Lytechinus pictus: one gene and its partner. The protein of the gene in region 1 interacts with the protein of each later gene in a pairwise test. Links are inferred from orthologs where the notes say so. Each region holds a gene or a part of one and is shown on either strand. Other genes may lie near its edges.

Region 1 (3,933 bases):
CTAATGTCCCTTTTGTACCCTTGTTTCTAGTGTTGCTGTAGCTTGTCTGTGGTCTATATTACATGGTTGTTCCACTTTATATGTTTGTCATTTTGCCTCCGACGAAGATTCTGCTCGGATCGAAAGCTTATAGGCCCCTTTTGACTCTCTAATTCTCTTTATCTGTTCAAATCATACTATTTTCAGCCTTGAACAGCCCTTTAAATAAAGAAGAAGCTGCGTATATCTCTTTAAACATGCGTGCGTGTTTTTTTTTAGATCTAAACCTATAATCTGGGCATTCTGAATACATTTTTTCATCATTTCATTACATTTATCGATTTCCGTTGCACAATGTGGTACATAATAATAAGCATAACATAATAAAAAAAAGTTAAGCTGCCTCAGATGTTTTATTTTTAGTAAAACGGAGGGGGAGGCAAGCACCTGAGCATAAAATTATTTTCTTTACCTAATTCACACATTTCAAGGACATTTTGTCATCACATGAAAATGGTGGCTATCTTCCTATTCCTCTTCCTAATATGCGGGAGATGAAACTTACTCGACATATTCCTTTCTGAAAAGGGGGACAATTTATAGGGATTCAATGATCTAATTTATTAATCTAATAAGCCTAATGAGAGCAAGAAATTTATTGATATTAGAGCCTGAAAACTGGTTATTCTAAGCACTTTTGTAGTCATGAATAGGATGCAGAGGTTAATATATTTTTAACAATTAATGCGAGCGCGAAAATTTTTATTTTCCAAGTCTTCCTTTCACCTTATTTTAAATAATTCGTCTTCCTCTTCTTATTTTCCCTCTTTTTTCCTCCTCTCTTTCCCCCTTTTTTCTTTTTTTTTTCTTTCCATCTTTTGTCTTTTTTTTGGCTCCGCCAATAGGGGGGGGGGGGGGTCTCGCCCCCTATTGGATCCGGGTGTGAAATGATTTGACAATTGATATATACCAAAGGTACAGTATTTTGAGAAAATGACATTTCTTTAATTTGTTTACCACACGATATGTAGGAAAGCTGCTCGCATATGATCTAATGATGAAAATTCTAATTACTTGTTTTATTCTTTGACGGATGGATTTTTCTCAAACTTTTTTTTTTATTATTATTTCTTCTTATTTTTTTTTCTTCTATTTTTGTCAGGGTAAACTTTAACGTCACCCGCCCTCTACGTTGATGAATAGTACAATTACATGAAACCTGTCAATATGGTTTACGTGGAACAACAATAAATCCATAAATTTTTCTTCTTTTGAACAGGTCTGATCAAATTTTGAGAGAGGAAACACATCACAATGGCTTCCAGAAGTCTAACAGAAGTTTTCATACTAATGAGAAACAATGCAGCGCAGAGCAGACACATATATTCGGACCATGTAAGTACCGGTAGATACCCAAATGTTTTACCGAACGCTCACAATCATATTGCCCGGGCCTGTCGGGGTAGGATCATTCGCGAAGGTGACCGGTGCGGTGGCTGGCTCTCCATCCGGGCAAGGGCAGCTGCACGGCCGGTATGAAAATCGCGTTTGTCTTTAAGACTTATCTTTGTTTTCTTTTTTGTTATCTTCCTGATTCGACATGCTCCTATAAAAAACATATCTCTAAATCCACATTAACTTATTAATTATTTGGTTGCCCAAAAATTATAAAGAAAAACATCAATCAACATGATCAATGACAATGTGAATGTCATTGAATTAGTGCTGTTGAGTGTTGTCGATGGCCTCATATCGACATACGAAGGATTTTCAATGTTTCCGACATTCACGCACCCACATCGACATGTAAATATGAAATAAAAAGGGGTCTAGCCTAAGTCACGAATGTAAAGTTTACCTGAAAAGTTAGAAACATTTATCCACAGTAATTTAATTTTTGGCGCAATTTTTAGCAGCGCATCAAATTAATAAAGAATGCCTGCAAGCTGCGCGGCAGCAGAAATACGTCGGTGCGGCGCGGGGCCCAAGCCTGACGATCATCTGATCTCTGCTCCGTGCTAGCGAGCAGCATTCACGTTCACCGTACCCATGCAATTATCGATGCGTTGATATTGATAATACGCTGCTCCTCAATGTATTACTTTTCACATAGACGTGAGCAGCAGCGAACAAATGTTTTCGTCGAAGTTGTGACTGCTGTAATTGAGCGCTTCATTTCACGAAGTCACAGAAAACTTTCCTTCCTTTGTTTGGATCGCCGCAGAGGTGGTACTGAAATTATCGATCAATTTTTATTATTTTTATTGTCAATTTGAGGAGCTTGCGTTTGCAGCACATGTGTACCAGCGTTTAATACGCAATTATCACTGTTGCAATTGGTGATTCTCAAATTGGCTCCGAGTGTGATTGCGCAATGCTTTCGAGACCGGATCGTGGTACAAAAACTTGATTCTCCAGAATAAATGTGGATTAAATCGGCGATTTTGGAAGTAAATTCACTCTAGCTTATTCAAAATATGTTTTCCTGAACTGAGCCTGTATAGATCTAGATCTAGTGTGGGGATATCACTCGTGTCAAGGTGACTACATTTGAGAGTGTTATGTGCCATGATCGAATGATTGTTAGGGAGCCTAAATTACGGTCCCTTTTCCAAATGTCGATGTCGGGATTAATTTTTATGCGACATGTCGACATGGATTTTCTGTTCCCTACAACAATGAATAAATGAATAAACAATGAATAAAACAAACTTCTGAAATATTAATTCTGCAGCCACTACCACTAAGTTACTTTTACTTTGTACATCTTGTATGTAAACCTTGTTTGCTGTTATTATACTTTGCAAATTGATTTGTGGTAAAATATATATTGTTCTATCATTGATAATATGAAATGATTGAAAGAGGATAAATGAATTGTATTATTCTTGCATTGTGTGGACTTTTTTACTTTGATCTACAACATATAGACACGCACTCATAATGGTGAAGTAAATAAATTATGCATAACAAATCCAGATACAAAACAATGATTTTTCCTTTCTTCCTCTTTGAATCCTAAAACCTAGAGTATGCATTATGTTTTCTCTTTTGCAGCATATTATAGCAGGAGAAAATCACAGAAAAATGGAGAAGAGATTCTGGTCCAATATAAAAATGTGATTGATATAAAGAAATAAAGACTCACCAGGTTTAGCTTAAATATTTAGTCAGCGCACACCTGCAACTGAGATCGAAACATCAAGATGTTTGGAATTTTTTTTTTCTCATTTTCTCTCCATCTATTGAATAAATGCTAGATATTTTTTGCACAGTCATACATTATACATATCCAATATATGATCTAATTTGCATATCAGGATTACTTTTAATATACCATAATGCTCCAAAATTGTAGTTTTGAACATATATGAGATACTTGTGAAGCCCTATATTTGTAGAGAGAAAAAAATGTAGCCCACAAACCTTTTTATTGTACGCCCGTCTTACGGGACGTATTATGGTACCATGCTCGGTGTCCGTCCGTCTGTCCGTCCATCCATTAACTTTTCCTTGTAAACGCGATAACTTCAGTTTAACTTAACCTAAGCTCATATAATTTGGTGTGTATGATACTAGCATGGATCCCAGGAAGCCTTTTGATTTTGAGGTCAAAGGTCAAGGTCACAGTGACATGTTTTCATCGCACCCTTCTGCAGTCCTTTTAAACGCGATAACTTCAGTTTAACTTAATCTAGGCTCATTTTAACTTAATCTAGGCTCATATAATTTGGTGTGTATAATGCTAGCATGGATCCCAGGAAGCCTATTGATTTTGAAGTCTGAGGTCAAAAGGTCAAGGTCACAGTGACATGTTTTCATCTTACCCTTCTGCAGTCCTTGTAAATGCGATAACTTCAGTTTAACTTAACCTAGGCTCAAATAATTTGGTGTGTGTATTTCTAGCATAGATCCCAGGAAGCCTATTGATTTCGAGGTCAAAAGGTCAAGGGC
Region 2 (3,933 bases), on another chromosome or scaffold:
ATGTGAATAGAACTGTTTTGTGAAATAAAGCGAAATTTTAAAAAGACATAGCTTTCTTATTTTACATCCGATTTCAATGAAATTTTCGGTGTTACGTTTTTTGGATTTTTCTCTTATTCAAATCAACTTTTTGTTGGGGTGGACTTGTCCTTTAAGTAAAACTTTAGGCCTAGACCTATTTTTTTCAAATTTCTATGATATATTTAGTACACTTTAAAGGGATGGTCCAGGCTGGAGATATTTATATCTCAATAAATAGAGTAAAATTCACAAAGCAAAATGCTGAAAATTTGATCAAAATCAGATAACAAATATCAAAGTTATTGAATTTTAAAGATTTGCATTATTCTGGTGAAACAGTTCTAGTCATGTCTTAATGAATATTCATTAGGTGGGCTGATGATGTCATATCCCCACTTTTGTATTAAGTTTATTCAACATTTTTCTTCCAAGAACTAAAACAATTGGATTGACAACTGATTAACTCTAGACTTAACGTGCCATGAACACATATCTGTGCATCCACTGGAGTGCCACAAACACATTTTCATGCAATGGTCATACAGCTATTGTTATGCCTATTGCATTTTGAGGAGTGCATTGCATGCACAAGTGATTCCATTGTTCAGTTCAGCTTAAGGTCAAGAGGTTTAAATTATTCAGGAGTAATTCCCTTTTTTTTTAATAAATAAAACAATTAAATATAGACTCTGAAAAAAAAAGGCACTCGCTGATTACAGTAAATGGCACATTAAGAGTTTAGTGCATTAATAATAATAGTTATTTATTGCCACAACTTATTTCATCATAATCATAATGGAGACACATCATTGTACACATTTATGAAAATATGAAAACAATTATGACATAGGCCTATCCGATTTTGATGAAATTTTCAGCATATTGCTCTGTGAATTGAGTTTTTTTTAACTATATTTATCTAGATAAAAAACTTTTCAGCCCAGAGTATCCCTTTATTAACTGTTACTCATATTTTGTGAAATAAAAAGAAATGCATGTTAAATCTTATTCTTAACCCAAATTGTTTGATGCGCAGACTTGAGACTGAGTCTCTCTAAGTAACCATGGAGGTAGAATGCTTTAACTACTCTCGGCCTCAAGACAAAATTCAAGACGATCTCGCATGTGATTGTGAGACTGACTGAGCAGTGAGCTGATCGACTGGTCTGGCTCTGCCTCTGGGCCGGGTCCCAATAATCATGATAATCAGCTTTCTTTAGTTGTTTCTTACCAAACCTGCAGTTGCAGTTAAGGCAGTCAATGATGATTAAACCGGTGTTTGGAGCAACCCACTGAGTCTTGAATTATTTCTGTCCTCTGAAATGAAGCAAGTGCAATTTAGAATGATGATCTTTTAACTTTTTGTTGCTGAATTAAACACCGGCTGTTATTTTCAAGTCAAATCAGCTGTTTCATCAAAACAAATCGAATCTCGCGCGAGCGCGCGCTCTGGTTAGAAAGGTCATCCCGCGATATTGCTAGTTCTGCATGCTGTCTACATGGGATCGTGGGATGAAGCTTCCGCATCCGGGCGCGGCCGCGGCCGGTAGGCGCGCGCTAGATATAGCTACATAGCTTGCTACGGTACGTGTGTGTAGATTTGGTGACACAACACTGAATGAATGATGTCATTATTATTAGACCGATCTTCAATCATTATCGTCATTGATAGATAGTTTAACTTGAAAATTTCCTTTAAATTCTGGTCGTGAGTCGTCAACATTAACAATACATAATCGCTTCAGGAATGGCGGATCACGAAGCCAAAGCAAATCAGTGTATGATTGATGCTGAAAAGAAGCTGAAGTCATCACAAGGATTTTTTGGTTCCATGTTTGGGTGAGTTGAATCTCTGTCTCTGATTCCTGAGTCTGATTTGATTTAGCGAAGTTAATCTTATCTTAACGTTTCTGATATTGACACAGGTTGACTCCACTAACTTTAGTTTTCAATTTTAGTGGGGCTAACGGGTGTATATGGATAATGGAACTCTTCCCTTGGCTTAATCTTTATTGGCCCTATTCAGGCTATTGATTGGTAACTTTGTCATTATTAATTAGACTTGGAGTGGACTGTTCTAGTCTAGTGACGTGTGAGACTTGAATTTTGAAAGACTGGGCGAACACTGGCCAAATTTGGATTTTGGTAGGTACATGTAACTGGGGGTTGGGGCCTAACGTAAGCTTGCAATGGGTTAGACAGCTGGCAGCCGTCTGTTTCGAGGAGTTTTTAAACATTTTTTTATTTTCTTAATTTCTCCTCGTACACAGACCGACAGACGGCTCGCTATCGTGCAGCCACCATTAGGGGACTTACAATGCAAAATCCCCCCGTCGGGGCTCTTCAATTTTGTCTTTAATGAATCAAACTTTTGAAAATTAACGCGACAGAAATGCAAATTAATATTCTCTCTTAGTCTTGGCATTAATTGCCAAAAACCGGGGAAAATCAAGTTAAACGGAACAAAAACAGTGACTTACATGTATGTACCTTGGCTGTCGCGCTACTTCACTGCCCTGTTTTATCCAAACTTAATACACATAAACATATGGCCATTGAGTCCCCTGTACAGATCGCGCTAGAACTTCGGTCTCTGTATTTAGTGAGTGAAGCCAACGGAGTTCAGCTGAACAACTAACATAACAGAGACCGAAGCTTTTGGTCTAGCAATGGGTATGGTATCTATAGGGTTAGTATACTAATACTAACCTCGCAATACATGTACATGTGAGTGGGTATGGTAGTGAATCGTAATTTGTATAGCCAAACACTTCATGAATTCAATCATCAAACACTATATTTTCCAAAAATTCACCAAACTTGTCTTTCACCATATAAACATACAAATAGATCTAGATTCTAGGCTATGTAGACATTTTGCCAAAATCGTTTATCTTTTATGACTTTTTTATGATATCAGATTCCGATCGAACCCCTCTTCGCATGTGAAATACCGGTATGGTGAAAATGGTATCGTATTACTGAATGTGTGTTTTCTATGGGAAAACTTGAGAAAACAAAATCACTGATGAGCTATTTTTACAATATTTTATTAGTTTATGAATATAAAGTCTTTGAAAATGTGTTTTGACCATTTTTCTGTCTATTCAAGTTCCCTTTGAAATGATTTTGCAAAGTTTTGAGCATATGAAATAAATTTCTGATGCGTATAAGGCGTGCGTCCGGTAATACATTCTTCCCTTCTCTCAGTTCCCTTTCTATGTTCCTTGCCTCCTTGTTCATATGTGCACATCAATCCATGTTCTTCTTCCGTTGAGTACAGTCCTCTTTACAGAGTATAGTCGTACTTGGCTGAGGCCGCAATCACAAAAGCACATGACATTTGGTGCAGTTGAAAAAAACTAAACTATAGTGCAAGTAAAAAGATGCATCTCAACTGGAGAGCTAACGGAGGGTGAGTGGTTCCAGGTGGCTCCTGAAACACTCAGTTGAAGGAGCCAAAACCACTGTTGTAGGCAGGACATTCCACAAGCAGATGGTACTTGGGAATCTCATTAAACAAACATATTTGAGGGAATCGAGAGTTGCTGTCCTAATTTTTTGTACAGGAAAAGAAACACTAGTTAACTTGAGCTCATTTTTCTACCTTGAATTAAATATAAGTGTTTTACAAGCAATAGTAGGTGTACCTCAAGCGATGTTCGTGCAGGCTTCAATTCACTACCGCTACCCTACGCTCCACCTAACCGATTATCGAGCCCGTAAACTCGTTCGGATACTCCAAGAGGCAAAGGTGGGAACAAAATATATTTATTGTAAAAATTATAGAAAAAAAATATAACGAGAAAGAAAAATAGCTTAATTTCTTACTCTACACCCTTATTTCACTCCGTGTCCATCCTCCGGTTATCCTCAAAATTTGTGATTTTGGGCCAGTATCTAGTTCCTCAC

Evidence for each region.
Region 2: the proteins of syntaxin-16-like (region 1) and alpha-soluble NSF attachment protein-like interact in a two-hybrid assay, tested with the Drosophila melanogaster proteins (2 studies listed by BioGRID). The link is inferred for Lytechinus pictus from reciprocal best matches to the Drosophila melanogaster genes Syx16 and alphaSnap.

What each region holds. Positions count from the first base shown.
Region 1 is NC_087246.1:49,420,529-49,424,461, forward strand, and holds the start of syntaxin-16-like, read left to right. Parts: upstream 1-1,164; 5' UTR 1,165-1,293; coding exon 1,294-1,374; intron 1,375-3,933.
Region 2 is NC_087251.1:20,748,657-20,752,589, forward strand, and holds the start of alpha-soluble NSF attachment protein-like, read left to right. Parts: upstream 1-1,488; 5' UTR 1,489-1,768; coding exon 1,769-1,860; intron 1,861-3,933. UniProt on the Drosophila melanogaster protein: Required for vesicular transport between the endoplasmic reticulum and the Golgi apparatus. Also between the endosome and phagosome.